Arabidopsis thaliana: one gene and its partners. The protein of the gene in region 2 interacts with the protein of the main gene of each other region in a pairwise test. Each region holds a gene or a part of one and is shown on either strand. Other genes may lie near its edges. The genes, in order: FASS, ZIM, NF-YC4 and TCP3.

Region 1 (8,864 bases), on a different chromosome or scaffold from region 2:
AAGCATCAAGTACATGCTGAACAAACAAAAGGTTCAGAGAAACTCAAACAAACCTCTCCTACGATGACGGTATCGCCTTCTTTAACGCCCATATTCTTCAGTGATTTATTCACACCACAAGCATCAAGTACATGCTGAAACCTTTTGTCTGAATCCATGTACCTATCCAAACACAAATCACATCGACATTGGTTAGTGACACTTGATTAGTTAGATTGCATGAATTATGGCTGTAGTTCAACTCATACCTCCAGTTAGTCATCTGGACAAAACGTTGAAGCCCGGCTCCAACTACATGCCAAGCCCTAGTACCGCTATCGCGGAAGACCTCAAACTCATTAATGGCTGCTCGTCGTTCCTTATCAATCTTCTTAGCTACATGGTCCAGATTCTCATTTGCTTGATCGAACAATGCTATAGCAAATTTGAAAACAAACCCCATCAATACACTGCATAAGCGCGATATCATTCTATTATGCCAAAGTAAAAGTAAACCACACCTTTGGGTTCTGCATTGGCTGCTCTGTACTTCTTCAGGAGTTCATAAACGGACGAGATTACTTCATGTGTACCTTCTCTTTGTACTGCGCTCATACAAAAAGGTTCAATCCCACGGGCACGGAGAGTTTCTTGAAACATTGGCCACTTCTCGTAAGCATCTGGGAGGTCCATTTTGTTGTATGCCACTACGTAAGGCTTCTCGGCGATCTCAGGACTGAATAGTTCGAGTTCGAGACGAACAGCTTCAAACTCAAGTTCAGGTTGTGGAGCTGAACCATCCACAACATGTACCTTTAAACCACAAAAGAAAGGGTCTTCTTAGAAAAAAGCAAAAATGAAGTATAAAGATTTGAATCTAAATTCTAAAGACAGTTGTTTTACCAGTGCTGAACATCTCTCAGTGTGCCGAAGAAACTCATGGCCTAAACCGAAGCCTCTGTGCGCTCCTTCGAGCAAACCAGGAAGATCTGCGACCACCATTGTTGAATCGTAATCAAATGAAACCACACCTAGATTGGGAAGTAATGTGGTGAATGGGTAATTTGCTATGGTTGGCTGTGCGGCACTTATCACGCTCAACAATGTGCTTTTTCCTGCATTTGGAGCACCCACAATACCTACGTCTGCGACCAGTTTCAGTTCTAAGTCCAGCCACCTATAGGCATATGTAAAGTTATAATTGGGAATCAGAGCTTCCCAGAAAAAAAAAAATATATATATGAACCACATATTACATTTCCTAAAGGCAAACACAGTCTCATAATTCTCCAACAGCATGATAGTGTTGGACTCTAAGAGTACCCAATCCAGTCTATAGATAACCCAGAAACTCATATCCGTTCATAATACTCTAACATACCTCTATCAACATGAGCTTTTCTACTAGCAGAGTCAGCAATGGAAGACTTTCAAAAGTCCTGTACCTGTATCTATATATAAATTCTTGTATAGTGAGCATTACTTACAAGATGAGATTTCCTCTGGAGATTAACCGAGATACTAAACCTAACCCAGATGATCGAATGAAGGAAGCAGGGCTCACATGTAAACATCAAGCTTTACCAAACAAAAGAAATACAAATCAACTGTTCCTAAACCAAAATGAAATTTTTACATCTTTGAACAATCTAGCTTCTGTGATTAGTTTATCCTATCAAAGCTTGTAACCATCATCAACACACTAAACTAAAACCAGCTCAAAAATGAAGAAAAATACACACTTACATTTCAGGACCTTCTTCGCCATTCTCAGCAATCCTAGGAACTTTATTCATCCCCGACTTAAACGAAGCATTCCCTCGTCCACCTCTCCCTCCAGGCAACAACAACGCCCTCTGTCCCGGATGCAACAACTCCAAAAGCACCTCCTTCTCCTCCCCTTCCTCACCCTCCACCTCACTCCCAACCTCTCTAGCCTGTCTAACCACCGTCCCAGGAGCCACTTTCACCACGACATTATCACCTTTAGCTCCACTCTGCATCTTCCCTCTCCCATGTTCCCCACGTCCCGCCCTGAAATGCACACTCTTGCGAAATGGCAACAACGAATTCATAGACCCATCAACCTCTACATACACATTCCCTCCTCTCCCTCCATCTCCACCTGAAGGTCCTCCAAAAGGAACAAACTTTTCTCTCCTAAACGCCACCACACCATTCCCTCCATCTCCGGCTCTAACATATATCTTCGCTCTATCGAAACACCTCATCACAGCCGGAACTCCTTTCTCCTTCACCCCAATTTCATCCTCTTCCTCTTCACCGGAGAAACATAACACTTCTCCATCCTTCAATTCAGACCCTTCACTATCATCTTTCTCCGCATCAGTTTCATCACCATACTCAAACACTTCGTCTTCCCAATCTTCATCATCTTCATCAATTGATCTTGAACTCCCTTCAAACACATCTAATCTTCTGTAATTTCCCCAAATATCATCATCATCATAACTCTTCACCTCCTTTTCTTTCTCTTCTTCCTCAATTTCCCTCAAAGTTTCAATCTTTTCCTCAACCCTCGCGACATTGGACTCAGATAGCTTCACTTCTTCAGAAACTTTTAAATAAGATGAAGACAAAAGAGAGACATCATAGTAATCTTCCCTAGGAGGAAGACGTGTATAAGTAGTGGCTTCGCCGCCGGCATCAGAAACTGGCTGGAGTTTATCACCGCCTCGAGATTTAAGCTCGACTTCGCGTTGAAGCTTCGTTTTTCTAGGGCTTCGGGTTCTTCCCGAGACTTTGTCAGGTTTAGCGAAAATCTTCCTCGTCCTACTGGGTCGGGCTAGAGCTTGAGGAGTGAAGAAACAGTTAATGGATATGGAAGCCATTTGTTTCTCTGATAAATCTTAACGGGACTTTATGTGATATAAACAACATTTTGTACTAAATATTGATTTTTCAAAGTAAAGGGGGTTACAATCAAAAGTAGTATAAAATTGAGGACTTATATAGCAAACAAGGAGAAACTTTTATTACCTTTGAAGTTTGAAGCTTGGATCTCGCAGATTGAGCTCCAGAGAGGGAGAGAGAGAGAAAGGGGGCGCTTTAGGGTTTCTGCAGTTCCTGGTTCAGTCTCACCATTCTATTTAAGGGTTTTAATCTCTCTGCTTCATTTGGTGACTAACATTTATCGTCGAGGGTTGTGACGATCTCCGAGAATGTATAGCGGATCTAGCGATGGTGAGAGTCATGATACATCGACGCAGAGGAAGATCCCACCGGCGTCTTCGATGCTTTGGGTTAGAAATCTACGACGATATATTGGTTCCGGTGCCGGATTAGGATCCGAAGCTCTAATGGGTAATGTTCCTTTTGCCGGTTGTTGCGTTTTGGTTGTTGGGACAGTCTGTAGTTTTTTTATCTTTTAGCTTGTGATGATGTCATAAATTCTGTAAAGTTTGAATCTTTGATCACATTTTAGAGCTCGTTGTGTTTTCAATATGAGTAAAGTTCCTGAATTTACATGTCTATGTATTGAAAGACTATGTTTAACTGTGATAGAGTCTTTGGTTTTGCTTAGTTTGATAAGGGTTTGTGTTCATTGTTTTGTAGAGCTTGAGACGAAGAGAATCTTGCTCGAGATTTTTAAAGAGAAGCAACAGAAAAGCCAAGAAGCAGGCACAATACCGAGTTTCTACAAGAAGGCATGTCCCTTACTCTGTATAAAATGATTGCCTTTGCATTTCAAGGCACTACTCGGTTAAAATATTGCATTGTGTTATACACTTCATAGAAGTTGTTTTTCCTTTTAAGTATTCGTGTTAGGCAATAAAATTTTGTTCCTTTACTCTTGGTTCAGAAACCAGAAGAAGGATCTATTAGTCAAAGGGTCCAGAAGCTTGCAAAGTACCGTTTCTTGAAGGTATTTCGCCTGCTCTTAATTATTCAGAAGAAGTTTAATGTTTTTGCTCACTTCGATATGTTGATTAATTCCCACAGAAACAATCGGATCTTTTGTTAAACGCTGATGATTTGGCTGCTATGTGGGTTTGTTTGAGAGAAAATTGTGTGATTGATGATGCCACTGGTGCTGAAAAGGTACGTGCATCTTTTATAGGATTTTTCTCTGGAGCTGAAACTATGTTAACAATGATGCTGATATTGCGCTGTCTTTTTCATGTAGATGAACTATGAAGACTTCTGTCACATTGCCTCTGTATGCACTGAACAAATCGGTCCCAAATGTCGCCGGTTTTTTAGCCCATCCAATTTCATGAAATTTGAGAAGGATGAGGCTGGGAGGATTGCCATTTTACCGTTTTATCTTTATGTGATGCGCACGGTGAGTATCCTTATGTTTTTATAATGTCATGTCTTTGGGTATCATTTTTGTTCATTGGCTGAATATCATCTGTCGCCATAAGCTAAATATTCTTTGGTACTGTGTTTGAGTGACACCAGCTTTGCTAGTTTTGGATGTTTGTTTTTCAAGTTTTTTTAATTTGGCGTGTCTTTTACTTAAACAACTATAGTTAATACTTGTTTTGATTAATCATATGTTCAACACTATTCAGGTGTCGCTTACACAAGCTAGGATTGATATGAGTGAGCTTGACGAAGACTCTGATGGTTTCCTTCATTCTGATGTAAGTACTCAAGTGGCTCTAAAGCTTTAACTTTAGAATTGGCTCAAGATTCTTTAGGTAGTCGTCCTACCTGCAAATGTCAAATGGTGTTGACTTTTATGTCAAGTTCCTTACAGTTAGTCTACTTGCTGTTGTTATTATAGGAAATGGAGTCCTATATTGGTGGTCTAATCCCTAATCTGGCACAACTGAGAGACATGCCTCCGGCCTTTAATCAAATGTATTGCCGCATAGCTTCACAAAAGTTTTTCTTCTTCTGTGATCCCCATAGGCGAGGTAAGTGAAAGAAAATATTATTATTATTAGGCAATTAGAAATTTCTTTGACCCAGTATTCAATCGCTCGTAAATGTGATATTTTTTGCGTACAGGAAGAGCCTGCATTAAAAAGATACTGCTCAGTAACTGTCTGCAGGAACTAATGGAATTGCATCAGGTAAGTTTAGTTGAAGGATGTATGACATACAGCTTCGTCACCGTATAACTTTCCACTTTCATAAGCTACTTGCTTGTGTTTTCTGATTGTTCCTTGGTTACTCAACGTTAGGAAAGCGAGGAGGAAGTCACAGACACTGAACAGGCAGAAAATTGGTTCTCTTTGACTTCAGCCCAACGCATATGTGGTGGGTGTGCTATTTTGTCTTAATAGCTGCAGAGAACTGGAAACAACTCTCGTTATGTCATATTAAGAACTAAAATGGAGATTGATCTAGAGTTTCTCTTTCTTCTGTAGATATGTTCCTCGCACTTGATAAAGATATGAGTGGATCGCTGTGCAAACAAGAACTTAAAGAATATGCTGATGGGACCCTAACTGAGATTTTCATTGAAAGAGGTAAATTTAAGCCCTTTTGGTGATTGTAGGCTCGTGGTACTGATCGAGACACGCTTAGTATACTAATTCCCCTTTGTTTTTTTAGTGTTCGATGAGCATGTCCGCCGTGGTAAAATCGTGGCAGGCAATTCCCGGGAAATGGACTTTGACAGTTTCCTCGATTTTGTTCTTGCTTTGGAGAACAAAGATACTCCAGAGGGTTTGACGTATTTATTCCGTTGCCTTGATCTCCAAGGGAGAGGCTTTCTCACTACTGCTGATATTCACTCTCTTTTCAGGTAATGAATCTCTATGAAGCGACTGAATCTGTTTGGTTTCTTACTTTTTAGTAAATTTTGTTTGAAACATGGAAGTAAAGAAGGGGAGCATCAAAGAGTTGTGATGTTATCTGATACAATCTTCCTAAATAAACACTCTGCATTTCCTGCTTGCGGAAGCTGAGCTTTGTTCCGCGAGTCTCATATCTGCAAAGACACTAGTGCATATCAAACACACCATTGATGTGTGATAATGCCATTGTCTCTCTTCTGAATTCATCTGTTTAACTTGCAGAGATGTTCACCAGAAATGGATAGAAGGTGGGAACTATGAACTGTGCATAGAAGATGTTCGAGACGAGATCTGGGACATGGTGAAACCGTCTGACCCATTAAAGATCACTCTGGGTGATCTCTTGGGATGTAAACAAGGTGGAACCGTTGCGAGCATGCTTATAGATGTGCGTGGCTTCTGGGCTCATGACAACCGTGAGAACCTTCTTCAAGAAGAAGAAGAACCACCTGAGGAAGAGTCTCAGTGATAATGTTATTTTCTATGTCTACCTAAAAAAAATGCTAAATCATTGAGATCAAAAGTCTCGCACTAGTAAACAGTCTCATCTCATGTGTGTGTATCTTTGTAAGCTTATTAGTTGGTGACGTTTAATGAAATGGCTGTTTATATCGTCACTTGTCTTATTCTACTTGGGATCTGATTTGATTTTTGACATTTCTGAATTCACTTCTATTATACATTACTCCACAACACACATGAATTCAGTCATGTCTCGAGTACTACAAAATGGAAGTCATAAAAGTTATCGTGTTGTCTCTGGTCTGTGTTTAGACATGGAAAGGCTTTCTGGGTGTAGCAGCTCTGTTCTCTAGAGATTGTAATCTTTGCTTCAGATGAAACACTTCAACCTGCGTTCATCTCAAGTTTTTAGAACAATACTACATTTTGAAAATGCAAATTTGAATAGAGTCTATTGATGATTATGATGACACCTGCAACTGGAACGCTCTTGCTCTTTCTCCTGCAAGAACTCCTCTTGTTGAATGCAACTCCTACAAAACCCATAACACAAAACGGTATTAAACTTTAATCCTCAGTCTTTTGAAAACGCTTGTATATCTACTAGGATTATTTTACCTTTTGTGTATCGTCTAGGACAGCTTTGAGGAACGCTACATCATGCTCAAGCCTGACATTGTCGGAGTGAACCATGTTTGACAAACTATTAGCTTCCTCTTGAGCGAGCTCTAACCCGGTCAGCTTCTCCTTAAGCAATTCAACATCTCTCATGGCGTCAGATAACTTTTTATCAGTCTCTTGTTTGCTCCTCAACGCAACCGACACATTCCTCTCAGCCGCCTCTCTTCCCGCCAATGCTGCTTCTAACTGCCCTTCCAGAATCCCATTTCTTCTTATAAGAGCCGTCATTTTCGCTTCATGGAATTGGTACACGCTCGATGAGGACGCTGATCCTGCAAAGTTGATATTATCCATTTCTTGGAATATCAAGGCGCCATCAACGTTTTCTAAAGGATATGTTTCAGAGCATTGCTTCTGGAGACTTAAGATTTCACGGTCAGAAACCATAGAAAGTGTTTTCTCTGCTGTAATCTTTGCTCCTCCAGTATTGTCATCTGTGGTCTGAAACCAAGACAAGACGTTTTAAAAGCAAATTCAAGAACGTCAATAAATGCAGGTGAATCATGAACTAACTATATATACCGGAGGAGGCACGGAAATGTCTTCTTCTGAACACTTTGCGGGTTCAATCACCGCTCTGTATTCCTCTTCGGTGCTAAACTGTTTACGCAAAGAGACATTTCCAGAAGGTGGGTTACGATGATCACCGAAAGCAATCTCTGATAAAGACCTTCTACCAGAGCCACCATGCTCTTCAATGGCTGAAGCAAGTTTCTGTCTGGCAACTGAATCAATCAGCCTCTGTGAAGAGGCTTTAACCGATTCATCAGAGGTTAAAACTGCCGAGGAAGAAGATCTTTTTCCAAACAGTAACCGGCCGGGGTTTTTCTTGGAAGTTGTTTGCGGATGTGTTGGTGATTCACTCTTGTTCTTGTCAATGGTAAAAGCATCGACCTTTTCATAGTTCAGACATAGCATCAAAACACATACATAAATTGAGATCTTGAACAATACAGCGGAATGATAAGGCTCGAACCTGATTTGAAGGATCTTTTTTCGTTCCTCCAAAAGCTACAAGGAAATCTTTATCCTTGTGTTGCAGAAGAACTAGACTAAATCCCTATTTCAAACATACCACAAGACAATAACTGAGCTTTTAACAGATGGGGTTGAAAGAATATACAAGTTAGTTACATATAAGAATGTGATTTTTCTATTTATCCACCTTGTTGGATGTGACAGAAGATTGAGAGGAGATGCTTGCTACAGACCACTCGACCTTAAGGATATCGAAGACCAATGTTTCCGCATGTCCTGGAAAAGCAAAGCAAACTTGTAAGATCCAGGTAACATTTAGCGCAGTTTCGAAGTAGAACTTACTCTTCTTTCTGCTTCCTCCTCCGGTTATATACCATTTAGTACCGCAAAGAACTCCACAACTACCCGCTCTTGGTGATGGGTGAAATCCTCTTATCTTTATTCTTGACCATACCATCTTGATGACACCAAGAGATAAGAGATGTTCAATGTCAAGAAACCAAATAAATAAAAAACATTATAGCAATAAGTATTACCGTTTCAAAGTCGAGTGAGTATAAGTCATTTAGTGTTTTGTTCTTGCCCGAACCTCCAAACACAAACAGAATTTTGTCGTCGAATAACGTGGCTACATGATGTGACCTTGCACACGGCCGTGTTCCTCTGTTTTTTTAATGAGAAGAACCGTATCAAGAAATCACAAGTAGGAGTTCAATGTAAACAATCATCAGAAAAATGTTAAAAAGTAAAAACTCACGTGCAATTAAGAGGAAGCCATGTGGATGATTTGAGATCAAACATATGAAGATCGTTTAGTTTCCTCTTCTTAGAGTCTTCACCACCGAATAGTATCAATACCGAACTAGCCCTCACCACTGTGTGACCGCTGCGACTGACCTGCATTTTCATATCCAAATCAGATTTTTTTCTCAAGTCACTTCACAATCCAAACCATAAAGCCACAAACTTCTAAATGTATAATGAGGACTG
Region 2 (8,110 bases):
AGAAGAAGAGGAAGCTATCTAATACTTATCCGTTTAGAATTGAAGTAGTCAATCGTCAACGTTAACCACCGGAAAAAAAAAGAAGCTATCTAAACGTATCACCGGGAAAGAAAAACTAACGGTGGTTTGGTTTTGATAGAGAAAGGGTTTTTGTTGGTGGGATGAAGAAGCGTAGTCAAGGTGTTGGAGATTGCACGAGAAAAGGAAGGAAGAAGAAGAAGAAGAAAAGGAAAGACAACAGCAAATGGGGAATTAAATATTTTGAATTTTTATATTATTATTTATGGAAAAGTAATAAAATGGCCAATTAAAAACTCTGAGGAAGAAGAAGAGGGAAACTTTATGTGACGAGCTTACACGTATACTCTTCATGCAATAGGATAGTGACACGTGGATTATCATCCTAACTCATGCATTTCTTGGCTCTCTTTCTCGGTTTCTCTCGTGATCTCAGTTTTTATAGTTTTACTTTATAAGGAAGTGATGACTAAGGAGGATGCATTCTCCTAGATCTTAGGGGTGTCTAGGTGCTTGTTGGTTTTGTAATTATCTCTTAAATTATCGAAATTAGCAATTTTTATTACTATAGAGGATTGAAAATCTTATCACTGATCAAACTACACAAAAAATGTATCAAAGTCATATGTAGGTGGATATAAATTGAATTGGTTTGATGGTTATCTTTTTCTTAGTTTTAGTATATATGATATATGATTTGACAAAATATATAGTCAGCTGATTGTATTTGGACAAATTACTCTTTTTTTTTTGTTTTTTCATCATGAAATTTAACATTTTGACTGTCGTCTAATCATCACTTATGATATTTCTTAACGTTTTAGTTTTGATACTAATCTTTTTATTTATTTATAAATTATAATGTAGTTTAGTTAATCTTTGTGTAATTTTGGGATTTAGAAGTTTTCAAATTTTGCATATATAGTTATGAATCATGATATTTCATATGTAATGCTGTTTTATCTTATAAATATCAAATTGTTTATACTTCAAATAAGCGCTTTTAAGCACCAAACGTTTGATTGCTGCTACCCATTTAACGCTTCTCATGTTTATAAATTAAAAATAGTTAGGAAATTCAGCATCATTTATATGTCTCCTGGATACAGACGCACGAAAAGAAGAAGATAACACAGTTACTGGCATATCTACTGATTTTGTGGAAACGGAACGTGACAAGAAACAAGTGCATACATATCTTCTCTCCCTTTTCTCGCATCGCATATAGGGGAGTGCTTTTAAATTTTCCTTCATTTTATACAAAGTTCACATCACTTTTAACATAAAGAAAAATTCAATGTTGGAAAATAAAAGTTTCAATTATTTCCCAACACGACAAATGTTTTAACATAAAACCACGAGAAATGGATATTTGTTCAGATGTTTTCTGGTTGCAAATAATCTTTTTTTCTACGTTTTCATTAAAGATTATATACAGGGATGATATCACAAGAGTGTTTAACTGTTTTGAGACTTTTAACTTTAGGTTTGGTGAAGCCTTCAGATTTAACTCGTGACTCATAAACTAATTTCAATATATCGGAAAACATTATATAATCATTAATCTATTTGTTTAATAGTACATAATAAGATGATATGGTACATGCATGGACCTCTTTATAGTACAGAAACAGACCACCCATTAATTTATTCGTCTCAGATACTTTTCATTTGTTTGAACAACTATAATCTATAATAAAGAAAGAAAGAGCAACGAGTCGTCACGAGGATCGGGTCACTTAAAGCGACTCCTTCTCGAATAATCTCATCATAAATTCCTTCATAAACAAACACTATTGACATCAGAAAAAAAAACATTATCTTAGTTGATTACCATCAAACTGGTTCGACGGTTCTCTTTTCTTCGATACATTTTTGTGTGATTTATATAATGTATTCTATTTGTTATGTACACAATAATGTGATTTGTAGATAATCTAATCTATTTAGTGGTCCTGAGCCCGATTTAGTAATCCACATGGTTTTGGTATATGATGCGTATGCATACATCCTCTAATAAACTAATCTTGTAAACTAGGATTGAGATCTAAGATGCATTGTCCCATTCCAATGAAACTTTTAAAATCTTTTCGGATATTTTGATACGTAGTGTTGTTAGTTGGTCAATACAACCAAAAAGAAGAAGAAATCACCTTTCAAGTTTTGAGTAGATTAGTATTTGATTTATGTATGAGACATTGATAAGTCTTTTTAATCTGATCATATCTTTTGAGGATGTAACGTAATAAGTAAACTTTTTTCCCCTCAGAATCGACTTTAACGTTTTTAACCACACCATGTCAATGGGTATGGTTGCAAGCATAGTAACAAACTCTGAAACCAAAGACATCTGATATGGTATTTGATTTGAGGTTCGGTTACGGTTTCTATAATACATGTGATGGTGAAAAGATAAATTCATAGAGAAGACCATCTGATTCTACAAAGATTTCTATCTTCTGATTCTTATCACAGTATTTAGTGATCACCTAACAGATTAGAATTATCCCCATTGGCAAGAGAAACCATGGAAGTGTGTTCTTCAACACTTGCAGCTTCAGTGTTTAAGTTGTTAGCAGCATCAGCAACACTCCCACCATCATCCTACAAATAAGCGATGATGATTCAAGCTCCGCCTTATGTGGATAAACCAACCAGAAACACAGGGTGATATTTATAAGAGCTTACCGGTTTCATTAAAGCCAACTGATTCTCTTCTGTTTTCTTTGAGAGATCCCTCAATGTACCCTACAAGAATTGAACAATTCTAAATGTCAAACTTCTTGGCTATATCAGTATCTTATGAACTGAACATAGTGAACATATTATATATGTCTTTATCATCACTTTGTCTTTCATACGTACCCTGTTAGCCCAAAAAAGTCCACAGGCATTGCAGAGAGTCCTGGGGCCGGAAGGGCCACGTCGCATCATTGGTGTACATTTGGAACTAATGCCGCAATGAGTACACCTACATAAGACACACTCACGTTTAAAATAAGTGCAAACAAAATGTCCCACATTAGTGGAAAACAAAAATTGCAGGAACAGTTAATTGGCAGAGAAGAGAAAGAACTCACGATATTTCTGGATGGGCATCATCTTGGGCAGAATCTTGATCTGTGCCAGAGTTATAAGCCCCATCTGTCATCTTTGAAGAGGTGAATTGACCTTTATTACGTGCCATTCTGATAAACACTAACAAAGGTCAGAGAGGCAGAGAAGGTGACAAATCCTATCCCTTATTATTGAAATAGACATGTCGATTATTTCCAGTAAAAGCTACTTATCACACTAACAAAGACTCAGATGTCTATCCTGCTCAACTACAACCATATTGTCAAATACTACAGCAAGCCATGGACAATGAAGCCTACTACTCTACATAAACACCTACATGGTCACCAAACTTCTTGAAACAAATAAAAGAAAACTAGCTAGATAGTAAACTAGTTGAATATGAACAGATTTCCTTTCAATCCATAGCACACGAAAGTGAGGAAGTAGTTAAGCAACCAGAGCATAGCCAGAAGAGTAGAAAATTTTTAGTTTAGCTATACAAGAATACTAAATTTTTATCCCAGAAAAGGTGAAAGAATTTTGTTCAGAGTAACAGCTTTTGGCATAAATTGGTAAAACTCAAGACTGACACACTGACCTTAAGGCAACTTCTTGGCGAACACCGTATCTTACTTTCTTCTCGAAACATCTAGCATTCCTCTTCTTCCGAAACCTATCCAAGGATTGTGCCCGTTGCGGAAGGCTACAGCGGCTCTGATATTCTACAACAGGCTAAAAATAACACCAAACTGAAAAAGGTGGAATCGAGATGAAGTGACAATTTAAGCAGAATTTGAACACAAATAACAAAGTTACCATATGATTCTGCTGTTGAGCTAGTTCCATCACCTGCGGACCAGGAGCAAGCTCAGTAGAACCACCCAACAGCGACAACACAGCATCCACCTACGAAATCAATTTCCAAAGTTTGGTTAAGACTAGCAAAAGCACAAAGGTGCAAAAGAGGCAATCGTTACGTGCCCTAAGCCATCAGATGTTATGTTTCAGATGCATCCATCGAGACTTCACACAAATAACAAAAGAGGGACAGAGTAGAATTACCTTGTCAGCACCAACGGCATCAAAAACGTAAACTTGTCCACGGAACGAGATCGTAAGCTGATTCGCCCCTTCCGGTGGCCGAGAAACAAGTAATTCAGAGCCATCGGATCGGTGAGCAACCAATTGAGAGCCATCGGGAATCAAATCGGAGGCAGCACCATAGATAGAGTCAGGATGAGGGATTTCTTCCATATCGTCGTAAGGAATGTGACCAGACGTAGCGGAGGCAGAGACATGGTCTTCACCAGCGGAAGCAGAGGCGGTACCAATCTGGTTATTTGGGATAATCGAATGGCGACCAAACATCGGAAACTGCCAAAAGGGAGAGCTTTTTTTTCACATTGATTGAAGGATATAGAGAAAGAACAAAATAAACCCTAACCCTAAGAGCAAAGGAAGAAGGAAATAGTTGACATCGAGAAGAGCGATTACAGAGAGAGATGGTGATCGGCGCGTGTGGAGGAGGCGAGATTAGGACCGTCGTCGAATTCACCCGACGGTAAAAAAAAAAGGTGACTTTAGGTAAAATCGCAGCACTGCTTCCGAGACGACCCGACGACTCTACTTTACTGGATTTTTAACCAATCACAAATTTCTCTTCTTGTTATTCTTTTTTTTTTTTTTTTTTCTTTAAGCTAGTTTTTCACGTAAAAAAAATATCTGAGAATATTCTATGTATCTTTGATGGTCAAAGGAAAAAAAATTGGGAAATTACACGAATTTGGTTTATCAACAAAAAAAAAAGTAATGCACAAAAAGGATGAATGGTGAGTGAGTGTGTTAGGAGGTCTTGGTGTGTTGTTTAGTTGGAGTAGTGGGAATGTTGTAGAGAAGAAGACCTAGGACAAGAACTATACACCCCATCGTAAAATTTGAGCTCAAGCTTGATCCTCCCGGTAGATACGGCAATGGTTTTGACATTATGTACACCGCTAATGGCACTACAACAACACCAAAAGTATTATCTCATATGGGTTTGAGTATTTGGTGACACTTAAGAGGCGTTGCATGGAAGGATAGAAATATGGACCTGAGAGCATCATGGTAAGAGAGGAAACGATTGCTGAAGATATTTTCACCAGATGGAGCAATGAGATGTTGAAAGCGAGATTGGTGGATATATAGAGCAGTGGGAGTATAGGGGCACCATCACAGCCTGAAATTCTCAAATGGATAATCACAAAGTTTTAGCAGTGAATAAAATTCAATGAAGGAAAAAAAAACAAGTGTCGAATGGTCTCTAACCAGAAATCTTAGCTCCAGTGTTGAAGAAGCATCCGGCACCATCTTTTAGATATGAAGGAAGGCTGGCGAATGGAATGCCTTTCAAGTTTGAGAGAAAAGGCAACAACAGGAACACAAAAAGAGCCTGCACAAGCACAGCTTCAGTGATCCGTAACACTAAACCAAAAAACAAAAACTCTTCTCAAGTAGGAGAGAGATAATAAGTGAATAACAGAGGAAAGCAGCTTTCAAATGTTTTCTTCACGTACTCTTGATGTAATGGAGAAGCATGTCTAATTGTTTTGGCTGTAACAAATACATTTACAACATGATATTGTAGTAGTAGATACCTGAAATCCAGATCCAAATGAATTTACCACAAATATATCCAGTGACTTTCCCTGCATCCACCAGTTAATCTTAGAGTTAATTCAGCAAAGTTTCGAAAGAAAAGCATTCCTGTTTGATGCAGGGGATAAGGGAGATACCTCAAGACGCTTTGCAGCATCATTGAAAACAAATTCCTGTTAACAGACAAAACACTTAACAACTTGGGTCTTGGCAAAAGAAAATAAAATAGAAATGTTCACAACTCATAAGAGAGAGCGACCTTCACCTTTATGATAGATGCACCAGCTTGAAAAGCAGCGGATGCTACCAATACAGCAGGCCATAAGAAACCGATTCCAGATAGCGTAGTATCTGCACCAGATCCACTGCAGATGAGTTACAGTCAGCATTCACAAAAATGAAAGTATCACTATCACACAAGCTTCTCTAGAATCAGGGCCTTCTATTTGCTATGTGGATGATAAATACTAAAGTAGAGCCGTCTCCATTCATTTAGCATGGTGAATTTGATAGGTGTGACTCTGGTCCATGAAAACTAGTTTTCTAGATTGTAAGAGCTGAAAGCACTCTCTTGATATAATCTGTAAATGACCACGGATACACAAACATTTCTCTACCCCAAGATCAAGCATCCAGATCCAAGAAGATAAAAGTAACTTTAGAAGAAGAGAAGAGGGAGGAAGGAATACCTTGAAACAGCCACCACAACCCCCACAGCCACAAGGAGACAACCAGCAATTTGGTTAAGCAAAAACCTCCTGCCTAAAATAAGAAGAGCAAAAAGCAGCTGCCACACCAAATATGTCTGCCAAACATTGGGAGGCATGAGTTCAACACCCCCATGAGAACAAATGAGCAAGAAGATAATCATAAAACCAAAAGACCTGATTCAAAATGGGTATAACTGGTCCAGGAAGCATTGCTGCAACAGAGAGTGGAATCACTCCATATGTAACCTTATAAATATGTAAAGTTTCAATCATGCTATAAATGGGATACCTGCTGCAGCCATGCCAGTGGCAACACCAAGAGCTTCGAGAAAACCAATGATTGCGAATCTCCATTTGGGTACATCCATCATTTCATTCGTCACAATGCCTAGACGGCGCCTCGTATACAGAATGGTGAAATAAATCAAGACGTAGCTGCCAAAAACCATTCATTTATCATAATCTAAGCTAGGCTCCTTCACTGCCCAATTTCTTTCATAGCCACTCTTGTTTAAGTTACCCGAAAGTGGTGAGCTGAGCCATGAAAAAAGGGTACTGTTTCATGGGAACCAAAGCGAGTTTGTAGAGCACGCGATTAGCTACAGCTAAAGCTACGATTACGACGGAGTTAGCCACGATAAGGTTCCGATTAGAAGGAATTGAAGACTCCTCCGTAGAAGCACCGACGGAAAAGCGAGGTCGTCTCATCGGAGAAGTGGTTTTCGGAGTACTAAGAAAGCGAGATCTCAAATCGGACCGTCTGAGAAAACACATGCTCATCATAGTCGTCGAACGGTAGGAAAACAGTTGGGAGCTCCGGCAGCTGACCTGATAAATCGCCGGCGAACGGAACACCGTAGGAATTGAAGCATGAAGACATCTGATTGGTGGTGTTGTAGCCATGAGAACGGTATCCATAGCGGGAGACTTTCTCGGCGACTGTTTTTATATCCTTCTTCGCTTATGCGACCCTTCATACGATGTCGTTTAAACGAGTTTTGGATTTTTATCACACAATCATTTATTATGAAACTTTGAATCATGTTTGTTTGTATCAGGAGTGTGCCATGATGTAGAAATATTACATGTGTAATAGCAAACATATAAAAGATTAGCTTGTAATTATAAGATTTGATTGAAAACTTAGGGAATGGTACAAGTAGAAAAAGAGAGCTTAAACTTGGGGTCTAGCTTGGACGATGTAGATATGTCCACCTTTGACAACACCTTCAATGTCTTGAGGACAACCATAGATTGACTCTATCACATTTCCAGCTTCTGCAATCGCTGAGAATAGACGCACTCGAAAGGATTTGTCCATTATTAGTGGCTCCCTTGAGTAATCCACCACTACTTCCTCTGCTTCATCCATTATCACACTGCAGCACTTAACCCTTTCAGCTTCTGAGTTCCGAAATAAAAGACGGAAACAGAGAGAAACACACAAAACAAACCTGTCGTAAAGTCCAGCGCCTGCGTTGCCTTCGAGATCCTCGTTGTTTGAATCTGATCTGAATATGATTGAGGGTTTAGAATACAGACCTATCCTCTTACTTGGGTAACTGATCACCTGTACAACCCAAATTCCCCACTCACTCGGTTAATATATAACTCAACTTAAGAGCCAACTAGGATCTGTTTGTTTCTTACGGTTGGAGACTTGAGGTTTGTTTTCTTGGTGATGA
Region 3 (7,142 bases), on a different chromosome or scaffold from region 2:
CGGACATAAAATTTGATTTGTTTTTAATCTGTGTATCTTTCTAAACAATATTTAAATTTGGATTACAACTAGAACAATATCCTTACAATCGGTTGAGCTACCAACATTTTTGTTGCTATATCTAGTGTCGATAAGTTAGTGAACTATTGAAATCAAGATTACTGTATCTCACTAGCATATATGTTTGTTCTAATATTAATTTAATCACAGTTCTAAATTAAATAAGTGTAATTTCTTTGCGTGCAGACGAATAATTCATTACATGAGGACGACAAAGTATTGGTTGGAGAATCCGCCAATACCAGACATGTGTCGGATAAGATCGAACACGTTGATAAAATTCTTCAGCCGAAATTTGAAACAATTGAATGCACGATTATTATTAACGTTATGTATGTAGAACAACAAATAAAAATACACTTTTTGTGACTACTAGTTCAGTGGATCTTTATCAGTTTTCGTGCACGTGGTTCACGTGGTTTGAAAATCGAGTTTCTTTCATAGAGCAAAAAAGTCGGAACTAGTTCCATTGACTTATTTTTAAGCTCGTGTTGGCTGAAAATCATCCACATTTTAAAAAATAATACAATCTTACCTCTTTGTCTCATCTATACTTTATTTCGTTTTAGATATTTCATATTTATTTGCCTACTCATTAAAAAAATATCTATCTAGTAATCTTTTTTAACTAACTCATTTCATTAAAATAGACGAGAAAGGTATAGTGGTTTATGTATATTGATTATAAAATAAACAAAATGATGCATACATTTCTTTTGTAGTCCGGCGTTAATAATTGATGATATGCGGAGTGAAAAAACGAAAACCAATGGTTAATTAATTAGTTCATATGCAAAATATGGTGAAAATATGTAAGATTGGTGTGAGCCTGTCACGTTGTGACCAGAAAACGGCGCCGTTCGGAGAACTGGCTCCATTAAGTACAAGAGCTCTGAACCAAAAGCATCGCAACGAGTTTCTACTTATTTATTAGAAAATGTCCACAAGTGTCCCATTCTTTGCTTTGATTTGACACACAATTATTTGTCATAACGACATCTACAAAAAAAGAAAGAAAGAGAAGAATTGCCCTTCTTTGAAAGTACTTTCTCTTTCATTTTTCGTTCTCACAACTTCATTTTCACCGTCCAAGAGACTCGTGGTTTTGACTCGCACTAATTTTTATGATGCTTTTGTTTTCATTTTTGAAAGGGAGAAAAGAGAGGTACTATATCAAATAGACATCATTTTACTATCAAGAATAAGAAATTATTTCAATTTTTTTAAAAAATTAATAAATAATTTAGAAATTCAACACTAGCTTTTCACGGTTAAATACTAAAGTCTAATCCATAAAACTAAAATTTTAGCCCCATTTATTTTCTTTTTTCGTTTTATCTCCTAATAACCAAAAATATACAACGGTTGTGTTTGTAATTTTTTCATCAAATCCGCCACAAAAGGATTTTGGTTTCACTTTTTGGTAGGTGAACAGGAATTGAAAATTTGCATGTCTCACTTGCGGGTCAAATGTTGTTTTGCCTTATAATTCTTCTTTGATTTTAAACTATTGACCATAGTGTTGTACTTAATATAGCCAGCCCCAAAGCAATTCCATCACATTTTTAATTAACCAAGACCGCCTGGTTTGGTTTGGTTTGCTTTATCAAAAGATGAAATCCATATTACAAATGTCACCAAACCGGATTCATAAACTAAAGTAGCCTAATTCCTGATAACAAATTCTCCAGATGAGATCAAAAGGATTTGTATTTGATCAAGAACAACAACAATTCTCTCCTATTTGGGAAACCTCTAAAGATACATATATTCACCAGAGCACCCTTCTCAACTTCATTTCAGTTGGCACTCTTCAGACGCGCAATGAGCTCATCCTGCAAAACCAGTCAAGTTCCATAATCAATCAGTGGAACAAGAGCCACGATAAACAAAGAACTGGAAGCAACCCCATACGACAGATTCTTTAAGATACTATTGAGAGTACAAGACTGAGAAGCTGTAAACAATTTTAACAGAGTTTTCAAAAAGAACAGTAGCATATATTGTGACTTGCCTTTCTTCCTTTTGTTGGAAGGCCCTTCTCCTTGAGCATGGCGCGGAGCTTCTCAACGGTCAAAGACTGAAAGTCTCTTTCGCCTGTGCGACTGCTTGATCCTTCTGTGCAGAAGAAATTCATTGTTTAAAGTCCAAGTGACATACGATCTTGAAAATTAAATCAAATAGAATTAAAGGTATAAAGAGATAACCTTGTCTAGATGCATTAGCAGCTCTTTTAGCTGAGCTTCTGTCGTCCAGAGCTCTATTTGCAGCCCTACGAATAAGAAAAAGTAATAGATGAACACACCATTTATGTAGGCAATAAGAAAGATTAGTGATTTTCAGTCAGTAAGATTAGTCACGCAAGGGAGGAAAGAACTAATCACGTGTCGTAGTTACCTCTTTTTAGGACCATCTTCAGCAGTTCCTTTTGAGTCTTTAGAACTAGATTCGCCTTTTTGCTTCTTTAACAAGAGAGATCTGATTAGTATATTTTGCTGGTTTGTTTTGATAAGCTGTCCTTCTGGATATATGACAAACAAAATAAGTTAGGAGTTGTTAGTAAGACAAAATTCTACAGGAAACAAAGACTTATTACTGAAACGCAGCTTATTCTGAAACTGATAATCCTGAGACTCCCAATTACTTTTCCAGTGTAGCCAATTCTCACCCAGAGAGAAAATGAAAAGGAATTGTTTTATGAGATTGCTACAAGAAACTGTCTCTAAGAAAACAACTCGTGGAACAAAACGAAAAAAGAAAAGAATTACCTGGGGGAGATGTGTCATGCTCACAAATGTAGACCCGCAAGCTTCCCTGAAATCTTACACAAAAGAAAGTTACTAAAATGTATGATTAAGCTTTAACAAAGAAGCTATTACTACACAGATAGATGAAACAACTTCAAAAGGAAAGAAACACTCTGAGATCCTGCCAGTCTGCCACATTCACAGGAAAACTAGAACTGAATGATCTTATAAGAAAATAAATTGTAATAAAACTCCAATATGATTGGAAATAAGAGCTACGCATTACTAAATCCAGCTTTTGACAGCAACACATGGATTCAAAGCAGTCGCTTGCCAACGTTACTAAAGTAATTAACAAGATCAATTGTCATGAACTGAAGCAGTATATTATAAGTGAACTCTTGTAATTATCATTACACAATTTGATCACAAATCTCAAAGCTTCAAGCATTTATAGTAAATGGTAAAATTCAAAGTAAAAAGCAGAAACTTTGAGCCTATAGGCACAAAGTGTGGAACCTAAACCTAAAATCAAAATTACAATTCAGACAAGATTTTCTCTGATTTAATTCTACCCAAATTTCAACGATCTGGAACTACAATCAAGATCACTTTGAAGAATTGAAGACGCATACAAAAAGCTAATCACTTTGAAAAACCCAAAATTTCAAAATTCGGAATCCATAATAGACCTTAGAAAACAAAAAAGGCGGGAATGGGTTAGAAAAGTTACCGGATTGGAAGAGACGACGGTAGAAGACAAGAAACCTCGAGACGGGAGGTCAGAAAGGAACTTGGAAGCAGTTTGATCAGAAGAATCGGATGGTTGAGATGATGAAGCCTCCATTGACAAACCACTGATAAACCCTAGCCGAGGAAGACGAACCCAGAAGAGCAAGAGAGGGCGAGAGAGCAAAGAGAGAACAGACAGAAAATCGTTTAGGAACAAAGCGGCACAGAGATGGTCACCGTCCGATTGCGTCTATTGGAGAAAGATATGGGCCTTATTAGGCCTTAAGATGATTAAGTAAGAAGTTAATATATGGGCCTTAATATAATTTATATATACATGTTAAAACGTGGTCTATTCAAAGCTAATATATAGGCCTTATCAGGCCTTAAGATGATTAAGTAAGAAGTTATTATAAGAGACAGAGAACTCAAAGCTACTACAAGCCATGAAATACAAACTCAATATGCCATACATAAGCTCTGATCATTACTAGATTAGGAGCAAGAATCAACAAAAATACAAAGCATAGATTAGAATCTGCACATTTAGATTAATATATAGTTAAGCAAGTCTGCAGTTTTGCTGCAATAACTTATAAGTTAACAGGAAAAATGAAAAAGAGCTTTTTTGTTTTGTTTTGTTTGATCTCTCTCTCTCTCTCGAGTAAGTCATTCGAATCATAGACATATAAGAATCAGACACTTGCAGGGTCGAAATGATGATTAAATCTCTAAGCTTCTGGTTCCATAGCTCAACTGCACAACATTGTACAAATAATCAAAGGTGTGAGTCAAATCAAATAATGGATATCAAAATTGTGTATTTTACAAAGTTTTGTTTATGAATCTAAAGAAATGAGCCAGATGATACTGTAAATTGAGCTTCTTTGATATTATCAATTTTTAGCTTATTTGATGAGAATCAATGAAGATGACACAGAGCAGCAAATTCCTCTAAGACTAATCAAAGCAAGCTCATGAAGAATCTCAATAACCATAGATAATCAATTGCAACAAGCTACATTGCTGAATATTACTAGAATTCACTTACCCTTGGCTATCGAGATTACCATGGCCGCTACTTCCTCCACTTCCATAAGACACATCATCACCACCACCAGCTGAATTCTGCCAAACGCTTTGCCATGCCTGAGAAGGAGGCTGAGCATAAACACCGCTAGGATCCATCGCCGGTCTTCCAATCATCATCCCTCCAGGAACCGCCGGTTGTCCCATCGGTGGATAATAATAAGGAACACCGCTCGCGGCGGGAGCAACCATACCTCCTCCACCAAGAGCCGATGCTGCATCTTCCTCTTCCTTGATCTCTTCCCTAGGAACAATATCAACAAGGAAATCGAAGATATCGGTTCTAGTAATCGCAGCAGCGATATCGTTTTTCTGAAGCGTACGACGTTTGTTCTCTTCAGCGTGAAGCCAAGATCTAATCGTAAGTTCGAGAATGAAAAGCTCACAAGCTTTCGCGAAGAGAATCGGTGCTTCGGCGGAGATCATACGCACATCTTCATCAGCTTTCATGATTTTTTTGATACGAGCTAGAGGGAGCTGATGGTTTTTGAAATCGTTTACCTGTTCGATCTCTTGTCTCTGGTATGTCCAGAACATTTGAAGCTGTTGCTGTTGTTGCTGGAGGAGGTGGTGGTATGTCGCTCCTCCTCCGGTGACTATTGATGCAGATCCAGATGGTGGAGGAGGGATTACGGTTGTGACGGCGGAGCCAGGTGGATAGACGGAGGTTGGTGGTGGTTGCTGGTTGTTGTTGTTGTTGTTATTGTCCATTGGATCTTTGCCTTGTGATTGGATCAAAAGATCAAACTAACGTTTTAGATAGTTTTTGTCATATGGATTGGAGTAATAGTGGATAAGGTAGACAGCGATGTAGCTGATTTCTTTCTATTTTTATTTATCTATAAAAACTATATTATTGATATATATATTATATAGTTTGATTAAAACGACATCGTATTAATAGTTTAGTCAACCGACGCCGTGATAAAGTGTGTTCACGGTGATGCTGCAGAAACAGGTCTCGACGACGACGACGATGACGACACAGGAGCTAGCGATGGAAGGAGAGAAGCAATTGGAAGAAACTATTGAAGCGGCGTTTCAGATAATTTCAGCCATGAATGATGAGCTTTGTAATCCGTCTTTGTGGTCTACTTCAGCTACCCCGAGTTCCGCCGCGACGACGACGGGTTCTAATGGTTCGGCTCTCGTTTCCGCCGATGCGGCTGCGATTGATGGAACATCGCATCATTCGGAATCTGCTGGTGGTGGCGGGGGCGGAGGAAGTGGAAATAGTGTTTTGGATGAGGCGAGTCTTCGGTATAAGAACTCAGTGACTTCGCTTCGTGCTGTTCTTGCTGCGATTCCAAATTCGCAGAAGGTATTGAACATAATGTGATGTTACTAACTATTTCGAGAAGTGTTTTGTTCTGAGTTGTTTCTGGACTGAGGAAATTTTGAATTCCTAGGGTGTTTTGAGATCTTAGATTAGGAAATCTTCGAATCGATAGAGAGTTTAGATGAAGGATCTAATGCTTGTTGAGTGTCTTGTTCTTCACTTGTAGTGAACTTGCTTAATTTTAAATGAGAGCTTTTTTGAGGTTTCATAAATTTGAATTTGTTCATCTATTACAGGCAAAAGCATCTGAAATGCAAAATGGTTTAGGATCTCCTGAAAGTGAAGACGAGATCGAAAAATTGGAGGAGCAAGCCTTAAGTCTCAGAATGGTAAAGCTTTCTGCAATTTCTACATCTCTTTGTTTTCAATCTGATGTTACTACATTGATACACTATTCAGTCTCGAATTCTCTGTACATTTCAACTCACATAGCATTGAATTTGATTCATATTTTCTTGTATAAAGTGTTCTTTCCCACTGTCTAGTGTAAGTGTTTGTATCATTATAGCTTAAGCGGTTCTAGAACCATGGAAATGTTGATAATTTTTTGAATACATTTCAGCCATCTGGTCATTTTGATTTCTATGTTAATAACCTTATGGGAAGTGATTATATTGTTCTTCTCTGTTGGCATTAATAAACGGAAGCTTTTGTTCATGCAGGAGATTGCAAAGAAGAATGTTCATGTTAAAGAACTTATAGATAAACTTCGGGAACTTATAGCAGATATCTCTACATGGCAAAGCCCTTGTTCTGTTTGAGTTTTATTTTTTTGACAATAGTGAGATCAGTTTAGACAAAGATTCTAAGCCTTGTTCTTGAATTACTCCATGTATTAGTTTTAGATATTTGTTATTTTGATATCATGAAGCCAAAAAAATAATCAAAAATGACTTTTGTATATAAAAATATTTCAGACAAAACCTTCAAACCCTGTGTCTGTTTTTCTTTTTTGTTTGTATTGATCTGTTAAAGAAACACTTCTTGTAGTGTTTCTGAGGAATCAATGACCGAATTTTCTGAGAAAAGCCATAAAACCAAGACCAGCTACTAATGCTGCACCAGCCGCAACTCCACTATAAGCAGCAGCCCAAGCGTCTGTCTCTACATACTCCATTGATTCTGCTGATCCTGATGCTCTTCTCCTTCTTCTTCCTTTGCCTTCTCTTGAATCA
Region 4 (7,764 bases), on a different chromosome or scaffold from region 2:
TGTCCGTGGAATTAAGCAATGGCTTATCCAGGCAATGGGAGGTGCTCCATCTGGTCCTGAAGCTGGCCCTCGAACAATGAAATTCCTTGACAATTTCCATGTGGTTAGAAAGACTGTTGAAACCTTATTTGAACAGACTTGGGTCACAAAACTTATCTGGAATCTAACGCAATTAGTTTTATCCTTTTTCTTGTTTTGCAGCAAACAAAGAGAGAGCATGCTTTGTTGGGAGATAACGAGAATGGTGAGAATGATGAGGAAGGCGGTGAGGTTGCAGACCCAAAATGGATCACCATTAAAGCAGCTCTGCTGCTACTGTTAGGAGCTGCCATTGCAGCTGCATTTGCTGATCCTTTAGTCGACACTGTTAACAACTTCTCCGCAGCCACAGGGATTCCGTCTTTCTTCATTTCCTTCATCGCTTTGCCTTTGGCCACCAATTCAAGTGAAGCCGTGTCTGCCATCATCTTCGCATCCCGCAAAAAGATCAGAACCGCCTCTTTAACTTTCTCCGAGGTCCATCCATATTCACAAGTCTTATATCTTTCTGTCCCATTATATTTCCTATACTAAAACCCGTTTCTTGGTGTTTGTTTGTTTTCAGCTATGTGGTGGAGTGACAATGAACAACATTCTGTGTCTCTCGGTGTTCTTAGCAATCGTCTACGTTCGAGGACTGACATGGAACTTCTCATCAGAAGTGTTGGTGATTCTCATCGTTTGTCTGGTGATGGGCGGTTTCGCGAGTTTCCGCACAACTTATCCTCTTTGGACATGTTTCATAGCTTACTTGCTTTACCCATTCTCCTTGGGTCTGGTCTATATTCTTGATTACTGGTTTGGCTGGTCGTAGATATCACTCTCTGTTCAAAGAGTTTGTTCTAATGAGTGAGTGTCTTCGCGCGTGGTTTCGTTTCTTCTCTACATATATATATATATATGGATTCTCGAGTGTAAAAACTTAAATTCTGAGATTTGTGTATTGGAAACAGAGTCTTATTGAAGCTAATACAGTAATATCTTTCTTGTTTCTTCTGTCTATTTAGTCTTCTCCTACATCTTTATTTTTGCTTGCTCTTTTATAGTTTTACTTATGGATGTTCTTTGTATTGAACCAAAAAAGTTACTTGTAAGTTGTAATCATCATATTTAGAGATTGAAATTTATTAATTTTTCGGGGAAAAAAAAATGATCGAACCAACTTATGACACTTACTTAGCAAGTAATGCCAATTGTACCATAAGCCGATGAATAATTGATTCATTATGTACTAACGTAGAATGTTATCGTCAGGTCCCGTAGCTCAGTTGGTTAGAGCGTTGGTCTTATGAGCCGAAGGTCGCGGGTTCGAGCCCCGCCGGGACCAAAACTTGAGTCTTTATTATTTTCGATAGAATTCTTATTTACAAACATTTTTAGACCCAAAAACTGTATATGAATCCGGAGAACCTTTTGAAAGACGAGCTCTAACTTCTTTTTTTTGGTTCGGTCCTTAACTCTTGATATCATCATTTTGTGTATGAAGCTAAACCAAATGTAAATCAGAAAATTCATGCCTGCCAGAATTTGATGGTGTTTGAAGGAACATAAACTTTTAGTGTCAATAAGGAAAATTGGATCAAATTTGGTTGGCTTCTTATCATTCAGTAAATGAAACCGGTTAACTCAAACAACATCAAACGTAGTAACCTCATTACTTAATAACCAAAAGAGCCGGTTTTAAAACTTTTTGTTGTAACCTCATCCTCTGAAGAGAGATGCAAACTAACAATAATGGTTTTAGACCACTATCCAACAATCAAGTTTTGAGCCATTTTGCGACTCTTTTCTTCTTTTTTTGGAAAATTATCATTGGCTATGGAATAGAATGAAGAAAAATCAAAGAAAAGTAAGACAGCTGTATGTAACCTTGAGATCTGACAAGAGATAGAAAGAAATAGAGAGAGGGGACCATTCTTTAAAGGTGACAACCTTTTTTCCCATTTTGGTTTCATCCTTTTCTTACACTTTGCTATCCTTTTTTATTATTATCATTCATGTCTTCTTCAACATTCCCTTTTTCTTCTGTCATGCCCCCAAAATCATAGAGGTTTCTTTTACCTCATTGATCTTTTCACATAACCAGATTCATCATGAGCTACATTTATTGTATGTACATCAATCATATACATTTGAACAAGAAGGTTACAAGGAAGGAACAAAAGAAGAAGAAAAGATAACAGAATTTTAAAATGTAGAATGGATATGATTCAGGCTGTCTTTTTCTTTTTTATGCTGCAATTTACTTTCGGATGTCTAGCCACTACTTCCAATCTCATCTTATCCCATCTCATGTAAAGTGTTGCTTCTTTATATAACTTCTCCATAAGAAACCAAAGTTTTCTTTCCGAAAGATATTATAGCCAAAAATCGACAAATTATGGACAAAAATTCATACCTTCACACTATTGATCTGAAAAGAAAGAGACTTGCTCTGCTTTCAACTTCCTTCATTTAGACCAACAAGAGTGTCTTCATCTACTAATCTAATGTCCTATTCTTTTTTACTTATTAAAGACTACATCACACTCAAGTTCGGTGGATCTCCTACACTCTTGTTTAAAGTAGACAGTTATTTGACACTAGACATCAAATTCTCTTTTGCTCCTTTTTCATAAAATCTTGAAATCTAGTATTGAGGAAGATTCTATGAAAAGAAGTCAAAAACCATTTCTCTGATATTTATATAGGGATCCGTGGATCATGGGCCAAAACTCTTACTAAGTATCAGAGCTTGCATCCACTAAACAAATTTTAAAAGAAACCCATAATTCTAAACTCTAAACTCCAAAAGAAGCAACACATGCAAACCCTGTCTATGGAAAGTGACTCTTCATCTATGGGGCCAAAAGAAGAGACTAAGAAACACAAGAGAAATGATTGTTTCAAATTCCATTTGCTAGTCAAAAGAAAGTTTATAACCACAGAGATTGGGAAGATAATACTTCTAATAAACGCTAAACCAAACAATATGATGATTGATGTAGATGGATAGAGCACTGTTCCTCTTTGGGATTGGCAAACAAAATGAGATATTTCTTGGGGAAAGCATTAAACCCACATGGAATAAAGGGCAAACAAAAGACTTTAGCTTCAAGTGGGGTTAAAGGTTTCCAACACAAGAACATAAATAAAGGACAAGTAATTGTAGAACAAGTTACAACAAACAAGATGTGAGCTCATGTAGCTAGAGCTAAACATTGTAAAACAGAATTGAACTTACAGAACGTTCTCTAATTGATACAAGATGAATTCAAATTAACCAAGGCCTAGGCTTTTAAAGACTTAAGAAGAACCTGAAACTGTTGATCAGATTTATAGGCCATTTGGATATTCGAAACACACAACAACGAAAACCGCCTTCACTATTCCACGCATTCGAAGCGCCCTGAAACGTTAAAAACAATGTAAGTTATCAATTTGATGAATGGTTAAAAGACAAGACTTTCACAAATGGGTGTTGTTTTCGAAAAACTTCAAACCTGGAATATGAAAAGAAACCTGTTGTGTTGCACAATCTTATGTGTTTTTGGAACTTGTTTAATGGCGAGAATCGGATGAAGCAGAGGACGGCTTGTTGTCGCCGCCGTGCTCCTCTTGTTCGCCTTGAAACCGTGCTGGTATACGAAAACCGGAGAATTCACCACTTGAAGCAAATGCAATGCCTGGAATAGCAGATTGGTGAATCCCGGGAGGGATATGGTAGGGATGATGATGGTGGAGATCGTCAGTGGTCATGGACTGCTGATGATGATGATGATGATGGTGAGGATCAAACCAAGCACGAATCATAGGTGTGTTAATGGACTGAAGGGGACCCCTCTGTGATAAAAGCTGACTTTGGCTATAAACTGGATGCAACGACGACGGAGAAGCAAACACAAATCCTCCGGTACTTCCGGCGGATTCAGCTGCTCCGACGTTGTTCCATGACACTAGTCTCTGTATCTTTCCAAATTCCGGTGACTGATGACTCTGTTCCCAGCTTGCCGTCGATGAGTCAAACGCTAACTGATTATTGCTCTGGCCGGAGAACAGAGCAGGTTCTGTTTGATTAGGAAAAGGTGGACCATTTTGGAAAGATTGAAGCGAGAGACGAAGAAGATCTTGGTTCTGTGTATTGCCTCGTGACGGTGGCTGATGATGATAGCTCTGTTGCGTTGAAGCTACCGGAAAAAACGACTTTATAGTGTCAGCTATCGAATCAGAATCCATTGACGCCGGAAGAAAACTCGATTCGTTATCTTCTTCTTCTCCGATTCGATGATGCTCTGTTTCTTCCGGTTGTGGCGGTGGCGGAGAAATTAAAGTTTTGGTTTTTCTGGGTTTAGCGTTAGCAGCAGCGGCGGCGTGTTGACGAAGAGTATCGGCGGGGTTCCAAGGAGGAAGCTGAGCAAGATCATCAATGGCGGATTTAGCTTTAGTAATAAGCCAATCAACAGCTTTACTTGGTCGATCAAAACCAAGTCTATCTTGAACATCGTAGAATTGAATCGCCGTCGGAGCTGAGAGTCTCACGCGCCGGTCACGTGGTCCTTTCGCTGTACATACTTTACTATGTCTGTCTTTTCTTCCTGTTGACCGAACAATGTGACCTCCTTGTACCTCCACAATCTCGCCGCAACCACCACCGTTCTCCGTCGCTGATTGGTGGTGTCTCATCTCTAGAAGAGGCGGCGACGGAGAATCTAAGAAATGGTCGTTATCTGGTGCCATTGATGAAGCATATTGTGGAAATTCAAGGTCGTTGATGGTGGTGGTGGTTGGATTATGACGGCGGCGGCGACGGCGGTCGTTAACCGCCGAGGAATCCAGAGTCGTTCGATTTATTTAATTCAACATTTTGCCTCTCCTCCAAATCCCAAACCCTAAACACGCCAACAAATCAAAGATGAAGAAGAAGAAGAAGAAGAAGACGTAATTGAATTTTGCAGACTAACCCATGACTAAATTTCTCTTCTTTTGTCTAAAGATTGTTTCTTTTTTAGAATTTGTCTCTGTTTCTGAGAATTCAAGAAGCAAAAACAGAGGAAGCAAGAAGAGAGAGAAGAGATAGAGAGATGTGGAATTGACTAAACGAGAATCCAGGAAAGCTCTTTTTAATTTTTTGTTTCTGGCCGGAAAATTTACAGTAACGGTAAAAAAAGGAAGAGATTTTGGGGTTTGGGGAAGAGAGGGAAATGGTAATGGAAGGAGTGTGTTTGGTCATAAAAAGAGCTCTCTGATACTCATCATCATCACTTGTGCTTTTATTTCATTTTTAAAGTGTTTTCTTATTTTATATTATATATTTTATGGTTTTTCTAAATGAAAAACAAAAAGCTTTTGTCCGATTCATCATGTGGAAATATTTTACATGACATTTCGAATTGTATTAGCTATATACATTACAATGGATATATTTTGGTAGAGGTTACTGTAAGAATATCAACACATATACATAGTCCTCTTAGGTTTGGTTCTGACTACCACTATTTTTTTTTGTTAAAGATGATAGAAACTATAAGCACTAATAAACCCAAATTTTACCAAGTCAAAGATTGTTCTGTACTGTGTTAGAAAATATTAATACAGAACTTTTGAGGTAGTAAAGGTTTTGGGTTGTTGGAAAAAAAGACAATACAAGAAGATTTCTTTTATAATAAAAACTAAAAAGTAAAGCTTTTAGATCTGTTGGAGAGTTGGAGACACTAATAATTGGGCGGTATAAACTAATATTGATGGTATTATTTTAAACAAATAAAGTATTATTTTCATCGAATCAAATTGTATTGGTTTTAGAGGTTACACCCTGTAAAATGCATCACCAGTATCCGTAGGATTCGACAGTATCCCTATAATCAACCATTGTCTATGCTCCTTTCCACTATCTGTTCTCGAACTCCACTGTTCGTCAATCCCACTTTTAATTAACCAAACGTAGTAAAGTTTCAGATGGAAAACGAAAATAATAGAGATACATACTTGTACATAGTTTTAGTTTAAAATTAACTTGAATTTCCTTTAAACAAAGATAAAAATGTGTATATATACGTAATTTGGTAACTCAATCAGTTTTTTTTTTCTTTTTTGTTAACAAGGAAATCCCGAGCATTTGACATACTAATACAAGTATGGTATGTGATTAAATATGAACATTTTAGGTGTGATTCATGTAGAGATTTCAAGAGAGATATAAGAAGAAATATGTGATTGTAGATAGGAGATTTATGTTTTTTGTAAGTGCGTTTCCTACTCATCGAGCCAATCTGCATTGAATCCATAATTTTTTCTTTTACCTTCCCAAGAGAAGAAATTATCAAAACATCGTTCTACGACATGCAACATCAAATTTAAAGGCACGAAATATCGCACGGTTCACTGGTTTAGGACACAATCAATTATTGTTTTCCATTTTTTTGTCATTACCACAAATTCTCTTTCTAACTACTTCTCCATTATACACACCGACCATGCATGTACTGTATTTTTAATTAAATACCCGTAGTCATACGAACTTTTCTGATATATAATGTATTTGGTACCATATTCTTGATCATCAAATAATGACAATGCACACATAAAAAGATGACGTATCGATATGTAAGGCAAAGATGGAATCAAATTTCAAATAAATGTTTCCCATTGCACCTACTCAACCAAGTGTAGTCTAAATAAATTTACGAATATACCCTATAGGCTTTTAGTGTTTTTCGATCGCATGTGTGTCAGTAAGTACACTCCCCATCACCCTCATAGTCATTTCCTCTTATCTCTCTCTCTTAAGTTATTTTCCCCAATATTTATTCCTTTCATTTATTTTTGTCAACTTGTTTTTCCGATAAAGAAATAAACACAATTTTTTCTGTCAATTTCCTAGTTTTATTTCGTTTATTTCCATTGTCTTATTTTTTTCCGTAATAAAAGAAATTAAAGCACTGTGAAAAGTTATAAATTCATTCTTCCATTCCCTTTCAAAATGATTAGTTTGTATTAAGTCATTTTCAGGGGAATTGTAGTAAAATATTTTATTTTTATTCGTCTTTATAATTTTACATAAACTGATTATTTGATTTGTTTACAAGAGTTAGATGGTCAAATAGTGTTTCCTCTAACATGAACAGTTTTAAAGGGCAATACACAAAAACACTAACGGTAATTGTTAGAGTTAATGAGTCTATTAGGGTCTTCTTGTATAAATCTAATACATTATACATGAGTACACAAAAGAAAGAATAAAGAATATATGGTACTAATCATATATCGAGGCATATTATTTGGTTTACGTGAAAAGGGATATAGAAAGGACGAATGTGGATCCAATAATCCGTTTTGCAATTTTAGTGAAAAAAATATAAGAAAGGAAGAATGTTGACACGGATGATAAATATGCATGTGCCATGTTAAAAAAAAAAAAAGTGAAAGGACGATGCTTTAATTCAGTTTTCTGGTACCCTTTTTGTCTAGAAATAAAATATTATTGTTACTTTTGTGTAACTACTGTAAAAGTAAATTGTAATAAAAGTCACAATAACCAAAAGAAGAAAAGAGAGGGCAAAAAAGAAGATGAAACTTGGGTTACCAAACTAGTTTTGGTTTTTGATGATTTGGGCTGAAAGTGTATAGACCTTTTCTCTAACCTTTTGAATGTAAGACGAAAGGGAGCCCATGGCATATCAACTACTCCGAACCAAAATATGTAAAATCGGTTTGGAGCGGTTAATGTTGGAAATCTCATATTTTTAA

The links.
Region 1: the proteins of ZIM (region 2) and FASS interact in binary tests that used the Arabidopsis thaliana proteins (3 or more experiments, as listed by UniProt).
Region 3: the proteins of ZIM (region 2) and NF-YC4 interact in binary tests that used the Arabidopsis thaliana proteins (3 or more experiments, as listed by UniProt).
Region 4: the proteins of ZIM (region 2) and TCP3 interact in binary tests that used the Arabidopsis thaliana proteins (3 or more experiments, as listed by UniProt).

The regions. Positions count from the first base shown.
Region 1 is NC_003076.8:6,171,993-6,180,856, forward strand, and holds FASS (tonneau 2 (TON2)), read left to right. Parts: upstream 1-2,979; 5' UTR 2,980-3,161; coding exon 3,162-3,303; intron 3,304-3,555; coding exon 3,556-3,647; intron 3,648-3,802; coding exon 3,803-3,865; intron 3,866-3,942; coding exon 3,943-4,041; intron 4,042-4,126; coding exon 4,127-4,285; intron 4,286-4,517; coding exon 4,518-4,589; intron 4,590-4,732; coding exon 4,733-4,865; intron 4,866-4,959; coding exon 4,960-5,024; intron 5,025-5,135; coding exon 5,136-5,211; intron 5,212-5,321; coding exon 5,322-5,423; intron 5,424-5,508; coding exon 5,509-5,701; intron 5,702-5,711; exon of another isoform or gene 5,712-5,975; coding exon 5,976-6,222; 3' UTR 6,223-6,409; downstream 6,410-8,864. Other genes in the region: EMB269 (GTP1/OBG family protein), read right to left, coding at 54-162, 249-414, 501-792, 883-1,156, 1,726-2,831; AT5G18590 (Galactose oxidase/kelch repeat superfamily protein), read right to left, coding at 6,524-6,604, 6,689-6,748, 6,834-7,337, 7,419-7,790, 7,873-7,956, 8,062-8,150, 8,217-8,331, 8,411-8,537 and 1 more. UniProt on the Arabidopsis thaliana protein: Probable regulatory subunit of type 2A protein phosphatase involved in the control of the dynamic organization of the cortical cytoskeleton.
Region 2 is NC_003075.7:12,642,121-12,650,230, reverse strand, and holds ZIM (GATA-type zinc finger protein with TIFY domain-containing protein), read right to left. Parts: upstream 4,668-8,110; 5' UTR 4,447-4,667; coding exon 4,141-4,446; intron 3,985-4,140; coding exon 3,895-3,984; intron 3,811-3,894; coding exon 3,677-3,810; intron 3,207-3,676; coding exon 3,099-3,206; intron 2,990-3,098; coding exon 2,884-2,989; intron 2,767-2,883; coding exon 2,683-2,766; intron 2,623-2,682; coding exon 2,497-2,622; 3' UTR 2,367-2,496; downstream 1-2,366. Other genes in the region: CLT2 (CRT (chloroquine-resistance transporter)-like transporter 2), read right to left, coding at 4,921-5,081, 5,171-5,296, 5,386-5,509, 5,715-5,765, 5,853-5,888, 5,981-6,080, 6,405-6,520, 6,600-6,637 and 2 more; PWD (phosphoglucan, water dikinase), read right to left, coding at 7,600-7,804, 7,880-7,995, 8,076-8,110. UniProt on the Arabidopsis thaliana protein: Transcriptional activator that specifically binds 5'-GATA-3' or 5'-GAT-3' motifs within gene promoters.
Region 3 is NC_003076.8:25,411,746-25,418,887, forward strand, and holds NF-YC4 (nuclear factor Y, subunit C4), read right to left. Parts: upstream 5,455-7,142; 5' UTR 5,340-5,454; coding exon 4,591-5,339; coding exon of another isoform or gene 4,587-4,590; exon of another isoform or gene 4,296-4,586; coding exon 4,292-4,295; 3' UTR 3,855-4,291; downstream 1-3,854. Other genes in the region: AT5G63460 (SAP domain-containing protein), read right to left, coding at 1,860-1,895, 2,075-2,178, 2,268-2,332, 2,458-2,581, 2,668-2,703, 2,829-2,874, 3,541-3,654; AT5G63480 (mediator of RNA polymerase II transcription subunit), read left to right, coding at 5,572-5,949, 6,204-6,296, 6,630-6,728; AT5G63490 (CBS / octicosapeptide/Phox/Bemp1 (PB1) domains-containing protein), read right to left, coding at 6,971-7,142. UniProt on the Arabidopsis thaliana protein: Stimulates the transcription of various genes by recognizing and binding to a CCAAT motif in promoters. Involved in the abscisic acid (ABA) signaling pathway.
Region 4 is NC_003070.9:19,846,681-19,854,444, forward strand, and holds TCP3 (TEOSINTE BRANCHED 1, cycloidea and PCF transcription factor 3), read right to left. Parts: upstream 5,046-7,764; 5' UTR 4,756-5,045; coding exon 3,580-4,755; 3' UTR 3,522-3,579; exon of another isoform or gene 3,521-3,521; intron 3,428-3,520; 3' UTR 3,108-3,427; downstream 1-3,107. Other genes in the region: AT1G53210 (sodium/calcium exchanger family protein / calcium-binding EF hand family protein), read left to right, coding at 1-103, 202-516, 605-853. UniProt on the Arabidopsis thaliana protein: Plays a pivotal role in the control of morphogenesis of shoot organs by negatively regulating the expression of boundary-specific genes such as CUC genes, probably through the induction of miRNA (e.g. miR164). Participates in ovule development.